Macaca mulatta: one gene and its partners. The protein of the gene in region 3 interacts with the protein of the main gene of each other region in a pairwise test. Links are inferred from orthologs where the notes say so. Each region holds a gene or a part of one and is shown on either strand. Other genes may lie near its edges.

Region 1 (4,214 bases), on a different chromosome or scaffold from region 3:
CATTTCTTTTAACCAGGAAGAAAATGTTTAGCATATCAAATTATTTTTCTAATTAATAATTTTTATATTCTGAAGGCATCATTTGTTTGTATTATTATAGTAGCTCTTTCAGCCACTAGACTTTCATACAAATTAGAGAAAATAAACCAACTATCATTTTTAAGAAAGGTAACGCATCTATTATGGCTAAGGATGTGTCTTTATAATTGTATGTTTGGAACTTTTCCCCCTTGTATATACAACAACACAGTGCGACTATTTGATGCATGTTAAGAAAAAAATTAGGGTGCTACGTGATTGTTTATGTCCATGAAAAATACATATAAAAATAATTAATTGTTAATCTTCAATGATGAAAAGTTATTCATTTAAATATTATTCGACAGACCACACACTCAAGACAGAATTCCAACTAGAACTTTCTTTCTTTATATCGATTGAGAAAGACACTGTAAAATTAATTTAGTAATCCAAGATTTTAAACAATACCCACATTTTATTATCCCATAGAAAGTCCTAGAAAATTTAATAGTTTTCATTTTGTGATTATTTCTTTGTCACAGTTTAGACAGTAAAATGTTTGAGGTCAGATAGTGATCCAATGCCAATTTAGTTTGTGGGTCTTCTTTCCCTCGGTCCCTGCCTTTACCCTGGAAACCCTCTCTCCTTACAGCATACAAACTTTTTTTCCCTCCTTCTCTCTCAGTAAGCAGTTGAAAAGATCTGCACAATTAAATTGATGTAAATCCCTGTGGGTTTCTTGGCGAATGAAAAAATGTATTTTTTCCACGAGAAGCCAGTAGGCGGTGCTAAATGTAGGATACTACCTTCAACAATTTTAAATCAAAAACTAAACAGGTGGCCAGTTTAAGAGTTGTAGAATTCCCAGTATGATTCACACAGGAAGAAATTTGAAAATTTTGAATGTAATAGGCACAAATGTAATACAAGTATACAATATAATCAAAAATGAATCTTAAATAAATGAAAACATAGATAACCAAAGGTTCTTAGAACGGTCTTAAGTTACAGAAATTAAAGCCCAACTACCTGTCTGTCCTCACATTAAAATCGTCTTTGGTCCCATTAATGGTTTCAATCTCATTGGGAAAGATCATACAATACAGCTAGTGTTTTGTCCAATCTTAAGACACAAACTACCTCTACCTTAGGGCAGCAACTGATACTCTTAATGAAAATGCAGGTTCGATCACTCAAGCTCTTTCTTGCTTGCTTGCTCTGTCTCTCTCTCTCTTAAAAGAACTAAACGACATACAACACATAAAACATACAAAAATATATTATACACACAAATTGTCTTGCTTTTTAATAAATAAGCACTTCTATGTACATACATTGTTATAATTTAAATGATTTTTAAAATCACAGAATGTTGCAAATGGCTTTTTAAATGTTTTATGTTAGCTATTTGAACCATATGTTAGCTGTTTGAACCATATATTTTAGTAATTAGCTCACTATACAAAATAAGAAAATCCTAATTTCAGGCTTAGTGCCATCATATTGGCTTCAAATCTTAGAACTATACACATCAAGATATCAAATATGGTGTCCACAGACAGTGACATAAACTATCTTCTTTATATAAACGCAAGAGGATTTCCTTCACAGGGAAAAGCTACTGTGAGAACAAAATACCTCACATACAATGAAATGTCCAAAGACTTTTGAGATACTTGCATGAGTTGTGAATAAAAAATATATATAGCTTTCCAGATATTACACTAACTTTTAATCTTCTACAGATAAATGGCCCTTTGCACTCCTTACTTTTTGACCACAAAGAGTAAAAAATAAGGCATAAAACTTTTCATTCCACAAACTGAGGTTACAGACAGTGAAATATTTGCTTGAAAAAGCCAGTGTATGTTATAAACCCCTTTGTCATGGGCCCCTCTGTATGCTGGAGTCAGTTTTTATTTCTGTAGTTACCCAGAAGAAAACTTCATCCGAGAGGTAAAAAGTTGTTTCATTTGCCTTATGTTTATTTTACAGAATCCAAACTACATACACATGATAATTTAAAGCTAAGCTTTTCATTTAAGGGGGGGAAAGGTAAGAAAATCAAAGTATTTAAATAATGGTGACTCTCCAGATTTTAAGATGTATGCCTTTACGAAATTTATTTGGACAGAAAAATTTCCAGCAGATTCTGTCACAGTGTTAAATACAGAAAAGGCTTTTTATTGCGAACTGGTCCATCTCTGAAAAGTAATGCTAAATTATATTGAAAACATGTAACAGGATAATCATAAAATATAATAGAATACATTCAACACTGAGTATTTCAATGCTACCAACACACGAAATCATCACCTCTATCACTAACCCCTCACTCCTGCCCTGTACACAGTTCTCAGGGGAAAACCTTTAGAGCCAGTATTAGGTGGTTAAAAAGAGGGAAAACTCTCCCTCTAATAAAATTTAAATAAGGGGCATTTTTATACCTTAGAGCTGTAGGGTCATTACTGCAAACTAACAGCGTCGTCCTCAACATTAAACCCAAGTGACCATCTTATAAGAAACTATTTCCCCATTCCCTGGAAGACGACACCAGCAGGCACTTAAAACCAACGCAACACAACAGGCATAAAGAAAAGATCCAAAGACAGCACCACTAAGAAAGCAAAGCCCTTTGGAAAAGCAAAATAGGCTGGGAAAGACCTACTGCGTCGTTTACTCATTGCGAAGAGGAGGAGCAGGAGTTGAGCGTGCGGGGGCCGGTGCCATCCTCAAGGCTCTGGAAATGTCTCGAGCTCCGGCCCGCGTGGCCTGGAGCCAGTCCCTCCGGAAGATGCGGTCTCTGCCGCTTCTTCCCCCATCTCCCGGGTGCTCTGGGGGTCCCCTCTAGCCGGCCCGACGGCCTGCGCCACGTACACGGCCCTCGCCCCTCCTGCTGTGCAAGTGGCCCTCGGAGAACTTACAGGGCCCGCTGGCCACCTAGTGCCCGGCCGGCGCCGCCCGCAGCGCAGACACCACCCGCCCAGCCGGGAGATGACCTGGGCGCAGCTCACGGTGGGGGGTGGGGGGAGGGGACTGTATTTTGTGCACATCTAGAAAACGATCCTGAAGCCGGGAACTGACTTTGGTTTTCCCTGGCTCCCGGCGCGGCTCTCCCCACCTCCGGCGCGGACACTGCCCGGAGATGCGCGCGCGCAAACACACACACACACACACACACTCACACTCACACATTTCTTTGCTAGGACCAGTGTTGCCACTGCACACCCGGGAAACGCCTCCAAGGGGACCAAGTACCTGCTCTCTGCGAGCTGCTCAGCTGTTCACTTCATCCTCCGTTGACAAGGAAACCAAACCGCACTTCTTTTTTTTTTTTTTTTTTTCCAGAAAAACCTTCCACTGCCATCATTTGAAAATTGATTTACGGGGAGGGAAGGGGGAGAAATAAGGGACAATATAGATATAGATATCAGGATATCTATCATAAAATTATCTCGGTTTTTTTAAAAAAGTCAAATGTGCAAAAGTCATAGTTAATTTAAAGGAGGAAAAAAGTATTTTGCTTAAAAATGATCCCAGTCACCAGCTGTAAGAAAAGTTTCATGTTATCAATGGGTATCAAAAACAGGAGGGAAAAAAACGAATTTGTTCTCACCGGCTTCCAAAAAGGGCACAAAAATATAAAATTAATGTCTTTGCTCAGTGGTTTGCACCAGTATTGCAAGACCACAAACTTGTAAACACTGCCGTAAAATCCCACCTATACAAAAATGTTATCAGAAAAAGAGTATGCAAAAAAAAGAGTTAGAAACATGCTTTTTATTTTTACAAAGGAAAAAAATAGGCACCATACTTCACATCGCTTTTTCCATAAAACCAGTTGCACATTTTGCTGGACTTGGGAGACGCTCCCAGCGGGCACGGTCGCCGCGGACTCCGAGACACAGCGCCTTGTCTACAGAACGATCGCATGCTAGAAAAACTTGGATTCAGGAAAAGGCTCAAAATCATGCTCCTCCAGCTTTCCCAAATATAAACAATAATCAAAGAAGTGGAAAAAAAGAAAAAAACAAAAACAAAAACAAAAACAAAAAACAAAAAACAAAAAAAAGGACAAAAAAAAAGAATAGGACAAGAATGCCACTGAGAAGGTACTCACCGAGCGGGAGTAAAATGTTGTAATAAAAATGAGATTTAGTATAAAATACAGTATGGCGGTGGAAGAAGGAATG
Region 2 (3,649 bases), on a different chromosome or scaffold from region 3:
TGGGATTACAGGTGCCTGCCACCGCACCTGGCTAATTTTTTTTGTTGTACTTTCAGCAGAGACGGGGTTTCACCATGTGGGTCGGGCTGGTCTCAAACTCCTGACCTCAGGTGATCCACCCGTCTCAGCCTCCCAAAGTGCTGGGATTACAGGTGTGAGCTACTGTGCCAGGCCTAGAAATATTTTTTAAATACACCACTTGTCAACCAACCACCCAGAAATAACCATTATGTTATACTTCTTTTCACTTTATACTTCTCCCTATGTGTGTATTTATTAAAATTTGAAATGTGGTCAGGTACAGTGGCTCACATTTGTAATCCCAGAACTAAGGGAGGCCAAGGCAGGTGGATCATCTGAGGTCACGAGTTCAAGACCAGCCTTGCCAACATGTTGAAACCCCATCTCTACCTAAAATACAAAATTAGGCAGGCAGAGTGACACATGCCTGTAATCCCAGCCACATGGGAAGCTAAGGCAGGAGAACTGCTTGAACCCAGGAGGCGGAGGTTGCAGTGAGCCAAGATGGCACCATTGCACTCCAGCCTGGGCAACAAAACTCCATCTCAAAAAAAAAAAAAATTGAAATGATGGTGTTTACACCATGGTATATATTTTTTTACATGCCATGAAATTATTTGCTTGTAAAAGCAATTTAAAAGTCACTGTATGAAGCTGGGTGCGGTGGCTCAAGCCTGTAATCCCAGCACTTTGGGAGGCCGAGACGGGTGGATCACGAGGTCAGGAGATCGAGACCATCCTGGCTAACATGGTGAAACCCCGTCTCTACTAAAAAATACAAAAAAACTAGCTGGGCGAGGTGGCGGGCGCCTGTGGTCCCAGCTACTCCAGAGGCTGAGGCAGGAGAATGGCGTAAACCCGGGAAGCGGAGCTTGCAGTGAGCTGAGATCCGGCCACTGCACTCCAGCCTGGGCGACAGAGCAAGACTCTGTCCCAAAAAAAAAAGTCACTGTATGTTCACTAGAAACAGAATGAAAGGGAAAAAAAAGTCACTCTGTGAAAATCTATATAAAATGTTAGGTCTCAATATGTTTTCAAGACAAACTATATCAGTAGGAACTTTGTCTTTTACCTAATTTGTAAAATAGGTAGTATATTGTAGGTTCTTAAGTCCTCTTAAACAGTTTACAATAGACTATTTATCACATTCTGTATCTTTAAAATTCTATATATAATAGACATTATATTGTAAAAAGTATACCATTGATAATTATGTCAGTGAGTTTCAATACTTACCTGTTCTTCTAACTGCATTTTACTTACTGTCCTCTGTTCTATGAGTTTATCAAGTTTCTTTAAAGATTTAAGGTCATTTCCAACTTCCTTTTCTATGAATGCAGACACATAAGAAGGGAGATCACCATTATCTGTACCTTCACTGACTTGTTTACTTCCAATAAGAACTGTAACATTTATGTCACCTAAAACAAAAGAATAACAATTACTCAACGCCACTATGTACTATGGAGTTAAAGAAAATGTAAAACATGTAAAAGCAGTGTATCTACCTTCAAAAGTTAATAATTTTGCCAGGCATGGTGGCTCACACCTGTGATCCCAGCACTTTGGGAGGCTGAGGCAGGTGCATCACCTGAGGCCAGGAGTTCGAGACTAGCCTGGCAAACGTGGCAAAACTCTGTCTCTACTAAAAATACAAAAATTAGCCAGGCATGGGGGCACAGGCCTGTAGTCCCAGCTATTCGGGAGGCTGAGGCACGAGAATCCCTTGAACCCAAGAGGCAGAGGTTGCAGTGAGCCAAGATCATGCCACTGCACTCCAGCCTGAGAGACAGAGACTCTGTATCAAAAAACAAAACCAAAACAAAACAAAGTTAATAATTTAAAGAACAACACATACATACAAATGCCCAGATGAATAGCTCTAAAGCACTCTATCAACCAACTACTGTAAAATGCTTAAGAGCTGAGGGAAGTATTAAAGGAAAAATTCCTAAAGTGCGACCCAGTAATCACAGGTTTCAATAGACAAGGCGTAATACCTTTTTGAAATGTGTAAGGAACCAGTAGTATGGTCTAGAGCAACATCAAAAGGAAGACTCTTGTTTTAAAATGTTTTTTAAAAGGCCAGGCGCAGTGGCTCACACCTGTAATCCCAGCACTGTGGGAAGCCAAGGCAGGAGGATCACTTGAGCCCAGGAGTTCTAGACCAGCCTGGGCAACAAAGCAAGACTTTATCTAACAAAATTAGCCAGGCATGGTGGCACGCACCTGTAGTCTCAGGTGGGCTGAGGTGGGAGGATTGCTTGAGCAGCCAGGGAGATCGAGGCTGCAGTGAGCCATGATTGCACCACTACACTCCAGCCTGGACTGCAGAGTGAGACTTCATCTCTTTAAAAAAAAAAAAAAAAAGTAGGCCGGGCGCGGTGGCTCAAGCCTGTAATCCCAGCACTTTGGGAGGCCGAGGCGGGTGGATTACGAGGTCAGGAGATCGAGACTATCCTGGCTAACATGGTGAAACCCCGTCTCTACTAAAAATACAAAAAACTAGCCGGGCGTGGTGGCGGGCGCCTGTAGTCTCAGCTACTTGGGAGGCTGAGGCGGGAGAATGGCGTGAACCCGGGAGGCGGAGCTTGCAGTGAGCCGAGATCACGCCACTGCACTCCAGCCTGGGAGACACAGCGAGACTCCGTCTCAAAAAAAAAAAAAAAAAAAAAAAAAAAAAAGTAAAAAGGTTTTAGCTGGGCACGGTGGCTCATGCCTGTAATCCCAGCACTTTGGGAGGTTGAGGCAGGCAGATCACGAAGTCAGAAGTTCAAGACCAGCCTGGCCAATATGGTGAAAACCCGTCTCTACTAAAAATACAAAATTAGCTGGGCATGGTGGTGCACACCTGTAGTCCCAGCTACTCGGGAGGCTGGGGCAGAAGAATCGCTTGAACACGGGAGGCGGAGGTTGCAATGAGCCGAGATCACGCCTGGGCGACAAAGTGAGGCTCTGCCTCAAAAAAAAAAAAAAAAAATTGTTTTTAAGCTTCAAAGGTCATTGTACGAAGATATCTTTGTCAGAAACAGAAAAAAGAAAATATGACAGAACAAATTACTAGGAAAAAATCAAAATGAATGACTAATGCAACCACTAAATAGTATGAAGTGAGATTCTTTCCATGGCAAATAAACTACCTGTTTTGTGACATTTAATAAGTCCAGTACATATTGGACTTACTAATATTAATATCTAAATAATGATATGCCTAAGTGCAAAATGTAAATGTAAGATATTGTTCAACTATTTATGTAAAGATTAACAGTATACTGTTTCACGTGTCCATGTGAAGAGACCACCAAACAGGCTTTGTGCGAGCAACATGGCTGTTTATTTCACCTGCGTGCAGGCGGGCTGAGTCCGAAAAGAGAGTCAGAAAAGGGTGGTGGGATTATCATTGGTTCTTATAGGTTTTGGGATAGGTGGTGGAGTTAAGAGCAATGTTTTGGGGGCAGGGGGTGGATCTCACAAAGTCATTCTCAAAGGTGAGGAGAATTACAAAGAAACTCTTAAGGGTGGGGGACATTATAAAGAACACTGATCAGTTAGGGTGGGGCAGAAACAAATCACAATGGTGGAATGTCATCAGTTAAGCTATTTTCACTTCTGTGGATCTTCAGTTGCT
Region 3 (4,172 bases):
TAAGAGAGATCTGTCACCTGGAGGTGAGACTCTATGATACTCTCCGTTTGCAAAATCAATACCTACTCCTCAATGGAGACAGAAGTATCAAGTTGATGCTGAAGGAGGCTTTTCAGCTGCCTCTCCCCTTCTGTTTCCAGCTCCTCCAGGACATGCTCATCACTCTTCACACAGCTGTTTACCCTGGAGTAGATATAAGAATATATACAGAAAACAGTAGAGACTGTGAGTCTCAAAATATATTCCTTATCTATATTATCTACCATTAGAGACCCCATTTATTCAAAGACACTTCTCCAACAATTCACTGCCCTTTACCATTTAGTCCATGAACACTTACTAAATACCTGTCTACACAGAATGCGCTATGCTAGGTACTGAGGGAAGTCGAAGGTGTTTAAGACATAGTCTCTATCCTTAAGAAGGTCACAATCTATTTAGGGAGAAAAAACATGTATGTACGTGTTGTGTCGGCGGTGGGAGGAGAGAATAATAACACATAGAAGCATAGGCCAAATTAGTAGAAATTCACAGAAGAGAAAATTGGTAGAAAAAGGTGGTAAAGGAAGACTTCAGAAAGGTACTCTTACGCTGACATTGAAAAGTGTGTGATGAAGAAAAGGAAAACAGGAAAAGAGAGTACAAAGGGACAGTAATACATACTGAAGGATAATGAGAAGTAGTAATTTATCAAGCAGTTAAGTGACACAGTGCAAGTGATAGTTTAGACAGATGAATGTGGTTATAATATGCCATAGAGATTCAAAGGGAAGAAACAAGAACTAGTTATGAAACTAGTGAAGTATACAGTGATGAAGGTCTAGACTGAAATGGTAATAGTGAAAATGGAAAGAAAGGGTTAGATGAGAGGGGACTTTTGGAAGCAGAGGCAAGGAAGTCAAAGATAATCCCAAAATTTCAGTCTGTGTAACTGAGAGAACAATGGTACCAATGAAGGAAAGCCAAAGCTCTAGATGGAATAAATGATTTGGGAAAGGGAAAGTCAGTATTGTTTTAGTCATGTTGAGTCTAGTACCTTTTACAATAGAAACGCCAGCATGAAGTATCAGGAGTACTTCAAATACATGATTCTGAAGGGACAGCATGAGTGACTGGCTAAAGGGAAAATGAGAGATGAGAGTCCGAGGCTGAATGTATAAATCTTGAGTCATCTGTGATAACAAGATCTGGAGCTCTGAGGAGGAGATCTCCAAGGAGAGAATACAGAAAGAAATATGAAGATGGTCATAACATTTTTATAGCCTGGGCACCACTGTGTAGAAATCTAGGCCATGGCTAGCATGATCTACTAACTAAGTAATTAAAAACTCTTATTAGAGTGTAAAGAAATAACAGGGCCATTTAAGCATGAAACAACAGATTATTTTTAAAAAATACAAAAAATGAATTAACTCCAGGAAAAAAACCAAATATCAAATACTTTCCTTATAAAATAGCTCTTTCCTAGTGAGGTTATGATAAAGTCTAGAAAAACTAACACCCATAATTAAAAACAATATTCCCAGGCTCTAGAAAGACTTGGCCCTATTTTGGAAAATTCTAAATTATCTTTAGGCCCAAGGTGTTAAAAAATTCATTTTAAGTATCTCAATTTTTTATTACTTAGAATCCCAAAACTTCTTACTAAGTTTAAAGTTTCTAGACATCAACACACATGAATCTCAAAAAGAAATGTTGAGTAAAAAAATAAAGCAAGTCACGGAAAAATTAATATATGTGTCCATTTGTATAAAGTTGAAAAATAGATAAAACTAGGAACATTTTGTTTAGGGATAAATTCATATGTACTAGAAACTATTTGCTTTTTTAAAAGCAAGGGAATCAGTAACGCAAAATTCCGGATAGTGGTCACCTCAGAGGGGAACGAAGGGAGGGAAAAGACACAGTAGACTTCTAAGGGACTGGCAATGTCCTATTTCTGAAGCTTGCAGTGGATGCGAACCTTTATTATTCTTTAAGCTGTATATATACATTATACATTATTTTGCATGGATGAGATACTGTAAAAAAAAAAAAAAAAACGTTAAAGGTTAGTTTCAGGCAGGGAAAGTCAAAAACGGTTTTTTAAAAGATGCAAGGAACTGACAGTGCAGGAAAACGTATCAGTAAGAATTTTAAACGCACTGCACTATTCCAGAGTGATGATTCTACTTGCAGCGTGAATCTAAAAATTAATTTAAGCCTGTCAATAGTTGGGAGGCTCGGGCCGTTTAGGCTCAAGCGGCCATTTACCTCAGGACCAGTAAGGGGAACTGAGCCCAGCAATGCCTTCCACCTCCCCTCCCCCCATCCCAAAAATCCAACCGCTTTGGTGCTCTCCTTCTACATTTAGAAACAAAGTACCACTCCTTTACTTTAAGATTGGAAAGCGCTATATGGTTTCGGGGCCCGAGCAAGTAGTCTCCAACACACAGACGTTGCAAATAAATACGCTGGCCCCGAGCCTTTCTCAGGTGGAGGTGGCGGTAGGGGAGGACGAGGAGGGGTTGGCCCGAGGTACCTTCATCTCCGGCGCCGGGAATTGGTCAGCCTCAAACCCTTTTGCCTAGCTGGGTCCGTGTGAAACGACGAGGCCGCAGCACCTGGCCAGCTCCCGGGGCCCATGCCGGAAGGGCATACCCACAGCAGCCGGGCCCGGTGGCAGCCCTTCCTGACCTTCGCTCTGCAGGCCTGTTCAGCCCGTCTCCCCTCCTCCCGTCTCCTTTGTCGTCTTCCCGCTCCCACGAAATCGCATCCCGAGAACGTGCAATACCCAAACCAGAAAGCAATTGAAGCCATTTTCAAAAGAAAAAGTAGAAGAGAGCTCCCCTTGCCGCCTGCTCTTCAGACAAGTCCTTACCTCTTCATGTTTCCACAGGCCCCTACCTCCAACTTGCGTAAATAGGCCGCGGACCTCAAGTCCCAGAACTCCGCGCGGCGGACTCTAAGGGGATTGTGATGGAGCATGGGGCTCTGGGAATTGTAGTAGCACAGAGCTATGGCGACAGAAAGAGAAAGTAGGTCTCGAGTGACAGGTATGCTGAACATTGTCCAAATATTGATTTTGAATTGCTCATCTAGGTTCAAAAGAAGACCCAAAATATCCAGCTCAAAAAACCGAGTCACCTTTGACTTTTTGATTCTCTCATTCATTACCACTAATTCCTGGCTCTTCTGTAATTTCCTTTGAACTTCTTATCAACACTGCTTTTCTTTCAAGGATTTATCCAGCCTACCTACCGTTTCCAGTAGAGCCTCTGCTTCATCCTTCATGATGTAGCCAGAGTCATCAGACACGAGTCTGACTATATCACCTGTATTAATGGTTCTCCTCTATCTGTAACAGAGACTTGAGAGTTTTGTACACTTAGAATCAGAAGTCTGTGTGTATTCAGGTTCACAAATGTTTTACTGATAATTATGGTGAATCAAGAAAGAGGTATAGTATAGTGGTTAAAAGCATGGGCTCTTAGTTCCGAGAAATGGAAATGCAAATGTCTTTAAGTGTATGAAAAGATGTCCAATCTCACAAATTTTAAAGTGCACTGACTACCAGTACTCCTTAAAAATAGCAAGGTCATCAAAAACATGAGAATCTGTCACAGACAAAAGGAACCAAAGGAGTCATGATGACTAAAGTAATGTAGTATCTTGAATGGGATCCTGGAACAGAAAAAAAGACATGAGGTAAAAACTAAGGAAATGTGAATGAACTATGCTCTTTAGTTAATAACAAGGTTCGTTAGCTGTGACAAATGTACCAGAGTTATGCAAGGGAAACTGAGTTGCAGGTATGTGGAACTTTGTACTATGCAACCTTTCTGTAACTAAAACTGTTCTAAAACTTAAAGTTTGTTTTTAAAAGTACACTGAAGTACCATTTTTCACCTAACAGACTGGGAAAGATCCAAAAGTTTGATAACACACTTGTTTTATTGAGATTGTGGGGAAACAGGCGCTCTCAATACACTAGTGGTAGGAATATAAATTGGTACAACATCTATTGGGGGCAAATGAGGATACTACTAAAATCATAAATGTACATTCCCTTTAAAGCAGCAATTCAGTTATGAATAGAGTCCTCAATACTATATATCCTCTAACCTACTATCATTCCTTGCAACATTGTTTATAAAAACAGAAATGAAAATATCCAAGAACAAACTATGAAA

The links.
Region 1: the proteins of RBM41 (region 3) and RALYL interact in binary tests that used the Homo sapiens proteins (3 or more experiments, as listed by UniProt). The two-hybrid records come from large-scale screens. The link is inferred for Macaca mulatta from reciprocal best matches to the Homo sapiens genes RBM41 and RALYL.
Region 2: the proteins of RBM41 (region 3) and RINT1 interact in binary tests that used the Homo sapiens proteins (3 or more experiments, as listed by UniProt). The two-hybrid records come from large-scale screens. The link is inferred for Macaca mulatta from reciprocal best matches to the Homo sapiens genes RBM41 and RINT1.

Annotation. Positions count from the first base shown.
Region 1 is NC_133413.1:94,791,358-94,795,571, reverse strand, and holds the start of RALYL (RNA-binding Raly-like protein), read right to left. Parts: upstream 2,842-4,214; 5' UTR 2,706-2,841; coding exon 2,690-2,705; intron 2,547-2,689; exon of another isoform or gene 2,469-2,546; intron 1-2,468.
Region 2 is NC_133408.1:145,133,512-145,137,160, reverse strand, and holds part of RINT1 (RAD50-interacting protein 1), read right to left. Parts: intron 1,443-3,649; coding exon 1,258-1,442; intron 1-1,257. UniProt on the Homo sapiens protein: Involved in regulation of membrane traffic between the Golgi and the endoplasmic reticulum (ER); the function is proposed to depend on its association in the NRZ complex which is believed to play a role in SNARE assembly at the ER.
Region 3 is NC_133426.1:113,911,895-113,916,066, forward strand, and holds the start of RBM41 (RNA-binding protein 41), read right to left. Parts: upstream 2,909-4,172; 5' UTR 2,869-2,908; coding exon 2,861-2,868; exon of another isoform or gene 2,522-2,860; intron 1,117-2,521; exon of another isoform or gene 1,037-1,116; intron 184-1,036; coding exon 67-183; intron 1-66. UniProt on the Homo sapiens protein: May bind RNA.